Oryctolagus cuniculus: one gene and its partner. The protein of the gene in region 2 interacts with the protein of the main gene of each other region in a biochemical or structural test. Links are inferred from orthologs where the notes say so. Each region holds a gene or a part of one and is shown on either strand. Other genes may lie near its edges.

Region 1 (3,291 bases), on a different chromosome or scaffold from region 2:
GCCATGATAGAGGAGACAGGCAATGCTGGTTAGAAATGGATTACAAAGGAAAAGGCAGTCTAGAAAGGATGTACACTTCTGAGACTCCTGAAGCATGAAGCCACAGGAAGCTCAATACCTACACGCACGGTGACGGTGTTGGGCAGTTTGCAGAACGTCGTTTCCACACCGATTAATTTAACGTCAAAGGCAAGATGCTCTGCCAGCCGGGACGCTGCGAGCCTGCACGTGAGGAAAGGCCTCCTGGCCTTTTGGTTTACAATTTCCCTTCTTACGGAAAACACAGTAAGGGGGAGTAGCGGGAAATGAAGCCTGGGGCCGATTCAGAGACGCAAAAGACGGAAAACGGCGACCAAGTGAAAACAGTAAACGCCGTCCCTTAAAGGGAAAGATTAACAGGAGCGTGAACGGGAGCTGGAACTCCAGATAGAGGAACCGCGCGGGAAAGGCATGGAGGCGGGGGGAGGCGAGAGGACCTCGGCCCCACAGGGACAGGCGTTCAGAGGCGCCGGCAGCCTGTAAATGGCGGGCCCAGCACCTGCGGTAGCGGCGAGGACCCACCCTCCCTCCCTAACTGGTGAGAAAAGGGGATTCATTGGGTTGAACTTCATTCTCCTTCTCGACTTCAGCATCACTAGTTCATCTTTGTGCCGATTAAAGCTAGGTCCCCGATGTCATGACGCCCGAGGCATAGGACTAGTGGCAGCCGTCGGGGTGCTCCTGCTGGTGTGCCTTGTATACGTACGTGGATGCGCCTGCACTGGCCCTTGGTGGTGAGCTAGCAGCCTAGCTCCTGGCAAGAGGGAGACGCAAAGACAAACCAGCCTACGGAGGGCGGCGAGAAGAGCCCGCCACGGCTCTTCATTTACGGGACGCTATGCACAGAACACAAGGCAGCTAGCTGTCCGCGACTGCGTCACATATGCGTCACCCAATCGAAGGCTCTACCCTACATCACCCTATTCCATTGGCCTAAATGAAAACAGCGCAGGAGCCAATCGCACGGCCACCTCTTCGCGCTCAGCAGAAGCAGCAACATAATCTACTTTCTACTTGCAGCTTTCGGCTGCGTGTTTAACTATGTCCGGACGCGGCAGGCAGAGGCGAGGTGCGCATCAAGGCCAAGACGCGGCATCCCGGGCCGGGTTGCAGTTCCCCGTGGGCCACGTGGACCGGCTGCTGCGCAAGGGCAACCGCGCGGAGCGGGGGGGGCGCCCGTGCACCTGGCGGCCGAGACCCTGGAGCTGGCGGGCTACGCAGTGCGCAACAAGACGCGCACCTGCAGTTACCATCCGCAACGAGCTTAAAGCTGCGCGTCGGCTTGTGCCCGCATCGAAGGCTCTTTTCAGAGCCATGGAAACCGCTCCTGGAGAGCCAACGTCCCCCGGGGCCAGGTGGCGAGGGCTACCCCCGACAGGCGAGTGGGGGGGGACACTACACTCCGTGGAATGGTAGGGCACTCGAAGCCCACATAGCTACGTGCGAGCCTGGCTGGACACGAGCGAAGGGTGGACAGACAGCTCTCTCCAGAGGTCTCTGGGTGGCTCTGAAAAGAGCCTTTGGGGCTTGGTCGGTGGCCAGACGGCGCAGCTTTTTACTTCTTCTTGGCGGCCGTCTTCTTGGCCTTCGCGGCCTTGGGCTTGGCGGCCTTGGGCTTGGGAGCCTTGGGCTTGGCGGCCTTCGGCTTCACAGCCTTGGGCTTGGCGGGGCTCTTGGCCGCCTTCTTGGGCTTGGCCGCAGCCTTGGCCTTCTTGGGGCTCTTGGCCACCTTCTTGACGGCCGCCGCCGCGGGCTTCTTGGCCTTCTTGGGCGTCTTCTTCACCGCCTTCTTGGCCCCCGCGGCCTTCTTGGGCTTCTTGGGGGTGGCGCCCGCGGGCTTCTTGGGCTTGGCCGCGCCCGCCTTCTTGGCCTTGGGCTTGGCCTCGCCAGACGCTGCCTTCTTGTTGAGCTTGAAGGAGCCCGAGGCGCCGGTGCCTTTGGTCTGCACCAGGGTGCCCTTGCTCACCAGGCTCTTGAGGCCCAGCTTGATGCGGCTGTTGTTCTTCTCCACGTCGTAGCCGCCCGCCGCCAGCGCCTTCTTGAGCGCGGCCAGCGAGAGCCCGTTGCGCTCCTTGGAGGCGGCCACGGCCTTGGTGATCAGCTCGGACACCGGGGGCCCGGCGGCCTTGCGCTTCGCCGCGCCCGCGCCCGGTTTCTTGGCCGCCTTCTTCTTGGCGGGGGACTTCTCGGCAGGCGCCGGAGCGGCGGTCTCGGCAGGAGCGGCTTCCGACATGGCGGCAGGAGTCGCTGCGGAGCCCAGAGCACAAGTTTTGGCGATGCCGCCTCGCTCGGGTCGGGGCTTATATAAGCCGGCGCTGCCTCGTGATTGGTGGAGCGTCCAATCCGCCGCCCTCGGGCCGCCGCCGCTCGAGGCTGCGTCTCCAGGTTGTGTTTGTTCGTCCCCGAAATTCGATTAAATGCAGAAAACATCGGCACGGAATTTGACGCTTAGGCGTTCCAAAGGAGGAAACCAGCCCCCAGGTTCACGGACTTGTTTGTGGGTTCGTCAACCGAGCGCAATGGAGGCGGGATATTCTTAAAAATCCCTGCGGCGTTTGGTGAGAACCCCTTGGGCTGACGGTATCCTGCTACTTAGTTGCAAGTTGCAATAAATTTCGAACAAGTATCCAGCGAACAGCGTTTAGAAGGGTTTATTCCTAGTGTCAGCCTTTGATTCCTAGAAGAGGAGCGGCGCTGGGTTCCTTGGTTTGGACGGAAACATTGTTTCTAGCTGTAGCAAGTAGCACAGGGAGTGCGCAGCTGGCTGTCTGCAGCCTCACGCCGGTCACACCGAACTGGCTGTAAAGACAGTTTATGGGGGCCGAGGAGGTCTTCAGGGAATGAGGTTTTCAGCTTGGGAAATCTGGGTTTTCAGAGCGATTGTTGCGAATAGCAACCGGAGGGTCAGAAAAGCCCTTGACTTTAGAATCCAACTCCTTGAAATCAAACTCTAAATTTTGTACATTTCCTAATTAGGATACTTACTTTAATTGCTGGTTTAAATCTATTAAAATAGACATGATATTTAACAGATAATTTGCATTACCAAAACAACCTCTCAAGTATGAAAAATGAACCAGGTCGCCTAGTAACCTAATAAGCGCACGAGTGCTTAAAGATGTAGGGTGATGTCTGGTCTCCGAAGCGTTCTTCCCAATGTCTGCACTGATTTCCGACAGCACTGCGTGAACTACATGATCACAAGTGCTCTTTTCTGTAAGCAGCCAGGGTGGACCAGTATGGGTGTTTTTG
Region 2 (3,745 bases):
GTTACAAAAGTATAGTAATCAAAATAGTATAGTACTGGCATAAAAACAGACGTATTGATCAATGGAACAGAATAAAAAAAAAACAGAAATAAACTCATTGATTTATGGCCAATTGATTTTCAACAAAGATGACAACAATATATGATAGACTAGGGCCAGTGTCATGGTACAACAGGTTAAACTGCCCATCGCAAGGTGGGCATCCATCTCAGTGTGCCAATTTAAGACTCTGCTACTCTGCTTCTGATCCAGCTTCCCCTTAATGTACCTGGGAGGCAGCAGAAGATAACCCAAATGCTTGGGCCTCTGTCATCTAGTGTGTAACTTATGCCCATGTCTCCCAGCCTACTAAACACCCAAGATTCTCAAGCTACTAGCTTCCTTCTTTATGCTTAACTCTATCCAGTTGCCTTCATCCTGTCTTTTCTTGTCCTCTGTAAGCATAACTGAATATTCATACATACAGCACGCTTATGTTACAATGTTTTAAGTGAATAACATGCACGGGATTTCTTTTTAAAGAATCATTGGGTTTATTTATTTATTTATTTTTTTGACAGGCAGAGAGGACAGTGAGAGAGAAAGAAAGGTCTTCCTTTGCCGTTGGTTCACCCTCCAATGGCCACTGCGGCCGGCGCACCGCGCTGATCGAAGCCAGGAGCCAGGTGCTTCTCCTGGTCTCCCATGTGGGTGCAGGGCCCAAGCACTTGGGCCATCCTCCACTGCACTCCCTGGCCACAGCAGAGAGCTGGCCTGGAAGAGGGGCAACCGGGACAGAATCCGGTGCCCCGACCGGGACTAGAACCCGGTGTGCCGGCGCCGCAAGGCGGAGCATTAGCCTAGTGAGCCACGGCGCCAGCCAGCGGTAGTTTTTTTTTTTTTTTTTTTTTTTTTAAACATAGTTCTAGATTAAATCCGACCTAGTGGCGACAGGTCTAGCAATTACCACAATTTCAAGTTAGCGAGGAGCTTAATGTTTAGAGCGCTCGCTCTGCACCACTGCACGTGGCTAATCCTCCCGGGAGCTGCGTCCTGCATTTCTAGGCCAGAACCAAGGAAAATACACTTCCGAGGCTGTTCGGTCCCAGCCGTCTTGGGGCTGCAAATTCGCATGCCTGCCCAGGGCCGGGCCAACGTTTCCTAGCCAGCCCCTTGCCTTCTCGGATCCCAGAGGGCACCTTCTCAAAACGGGTCGGGGCAGAATTCGAGGCGAGAATGCGTCAGCCTACCCCGGATAAAACAGTTAAAGAGGTGGCGCGCTCCAAGCCCCGCCCCGGCCCCCGGCAGCCGCTGGAGGAGCTAGAACCGCACACGCGGCCCGCCCCGCAGACGCCCCGCGGGCGTCTGGGAAACGGCGGCTCCTGCGGCCAGCGAGGGGCGCGCGCTAGCTGCCCGCCCCTTGAACGCCGGCGCCGGGGGCGTGCCCGCGGCCAGGCATCAGCAATCTATCGGCGAGCGACGGCGGCGGTCGGCGCGGCGTGCTCAGGGGCGGCCCTAGGCGCTCGGGCGTCTGCGGGCGGCGCACGGGTGGGCGGCGCGCGCGCGCGGGGCGGCGAGGCGGCGTCGGCGGCGGTGTCGGCGGGCTCCGGGGGCCAGGGTGAGCGAGAGCTGGAGGATGGCGGAGTCTTCGGACAAGCTCTACCGAGTGGAATACGCCAAGAGCGGGCGCGCCTCCTGCAAGAAATGCAGCGAGAGCATCCCCAAGGACTCGCTCCGGATGGCCATCATGGTGCAGGTGCGGGCGGCGCGGGCCGTTTTGTGGGCGGCACGGCGTGGGAGGGCGGAGGGCCCCTCCGGGGGCCCGCGGGGGCCTCGGGGCGGCGCGCAGGGCCTGTGGGCGCTGCTGCGGCTCCCGGTGCGGCGTGCGGCCCACCTGGTGGACCCTTCCGGGAGGTCCGCTCATCCAGCATGAAAAACCCGGGAAACAGACCCGGTAGCGGGTGATTCCTTACGCGCTCGTCGCCATAAGGAGCCGCTTCTCTGGTTTTTGGGCGGTGCAGGAGTTCTTATTTTACTGCTGTTGGCCTCAGGGCGAGGAAAACGTGTGCCGGACCTTCTGAAGCGGCTCTGATTTTTGACCTGCCTTGTTCTCCAAGGTTTTTGGCCTACGTCTCCCAGCCAGACTGGCTGGTGGGGATTTTTTTCGTTTCTTAAACTAATTTTGGCTCCCCTTGCAACAGCCGCTGTCGTATTTTGAATCCTAATTATGCGAAACCTGTGCAGGGCAGTGGCATTTTTGTGTAGTGCGTTCGTTTTGGGCCTGATTTGTGGTTTTAAGGTATTTTCCCCAAACTTTCCAGATTCACACACTCATTCTTTTGCTGCATTTGCGGCTATTTCGAGTGGTCATCTGGACTTTTTGATCGATTGGGGATCCTCTGATGTTGTTCGCAGAGGTTCAGAGATGGGCAGCTGGGGGGTTGGGACTGGCCCCTGCCAGTGTGCCTTTTCGATCCTGATTCTCACCTGCCACGGAAAGATTGTCACCTTCAACGGAAAGATTCTACCCTGGCTTAGTGCTCAGGGCCCAGGTAATTTGGCTTCTGCGGTGCTTTTTAGGGGTGCTTGGCCAGCTCCTCCATAGGCTTCTCAGTACTGAACAGGGCACCAGAGCGGGACACATGGACCAAGTGGGTCCCAAGTGCCGGCTCTGCCTGCGTTGCCTGATTTCACAGCCTGTCGGGGGCTGAGGCTGCCCTCTTGGAATCCCCAGAGCCTCCCCCGGCGCAGTACCTGGCACACAGCCCCAGTACTGTTCCTCCAATGGACGTGTACTGAGTACCTGGTAAGTTCTAGGCCCTGTGTTAGGGTCTAGTGACGCAAGGAAAATCCACCCTCGGGAGCTGTGAGGAAGTGGGTGACACGAGATGGAGCTCCAGGAGAGCAGCCGGAGGTGAACAGGGCTGGGGGGGAGGGGTGAGGATAGAGGAGTACCCGGGGCTTAACAGTTGGAAGCACGGGGAGAGCCTTATCCCCCCCACTAAGTTCTTTGGGTTTGCCCTGAGTACAGGAGACAGCCTATTCAAAGTTGGCAAGGGTCCTGTGCCTGGTGTCTGGGACATTGGGCTCCAGAAGTCCTTGCATTCAGATGAGAAAAAATTTACATCTCTGTTTTCCCTGAACTCGAGGTGAAACACCTTATTTCCTCTAATCCTGATTGTAAGCAGCTACGCAAAGGCATAGTAACAGTACCTGGATTTTCTCCTTGTTTATTTCTGAGGCAGAGTTAGAGAGTCTGAGTGCAAGGGAGAGCGAGATCTTCCGTCTGCTGGTTCACTCCCCAATTGGCTGCAGTATCTGGGCCAGGCTGAAGCCAGGAATTCTGACTGGGTTTCCCATGTGGTTGGCAGGGGCCCCTGTACGTGGGCCATCATCTGCTGCTTTCCCAGATGCATTAGCGGGGAGCTAAATCAGAAGTGGAGCAGCTGGTTCTCAGACCAGTGCCCTGATACGGATGCCAGCATCACAGGCTGGAGCTTAACCCCTCTGTGCTGCAGCGCCATCCCAGACCTATGATTTTTATCACCACTGGTAATTATAATATTTTCATGCTGCTTTATGGCTGGGGCTATGTCAAAATCTTGACAAAATTACAGTAGCTATTAGCATGAGCTCTAGGTCTGGCTATTTATAACTTTAAAGTGCATCAGTTACTGTAATCCCAATTTACTTTAATGTTTGATTGTTTTTCAGTAGAATCCATTTCCTTTGTGAGCTTGCATATTTTAGAAAGGGCCAGCCTTGG

The links.
Region 1: of the proteins of PARP1 (region 2) and H1-5, one has a biochemical effect on the other in vitro, tested with the Homo sapiens proteins (2 studies listed by BioGRID). The link is inferred for Oryctolagus cuniculus from reciprocal best matches to the Homo sapiens genes PARP1 and H1-5.

What each region holds. Positions count from the first base shown.
Region 1 is NC_091436.1:169,837,329-169,840,619, forward strand, and holds H1-5 (histone H1.5), read right to left. Parts: upstream 2,329-3,291; 5' UTR 2,273-2,328; coding exon 1,595-2,272; 3' UTR 514-1,594; downstream 1-513. UniProt on the Homo sapiens protein: Histone H1 protein binds to linker DNA between nucleosomes forming the macromolecular structure known as the chromatin fiber. Histones H1 are necessary for the condensation of nucleosome chains into higher-order structured fibers.
Region 2 is NC_091444.1:39,020,333-39,024,077, forward strand, and holds the start of PARP1 (poly [ADP-ribose] polymerase 1), read left to right. Parts: upstream 1-1,499; 5' UTR 1,500-1,615; coding exon 1,616-1,735; intron 1,736-1,819; exon of another isoform or gene 1,820-2,531; intron 2,532-3,745. UniProt on the Homo sapiens protein: Poly-ADP-ribosyltransferase that mediates poly-ADP-ribosylation of proteins and plays a key role in DNA repair.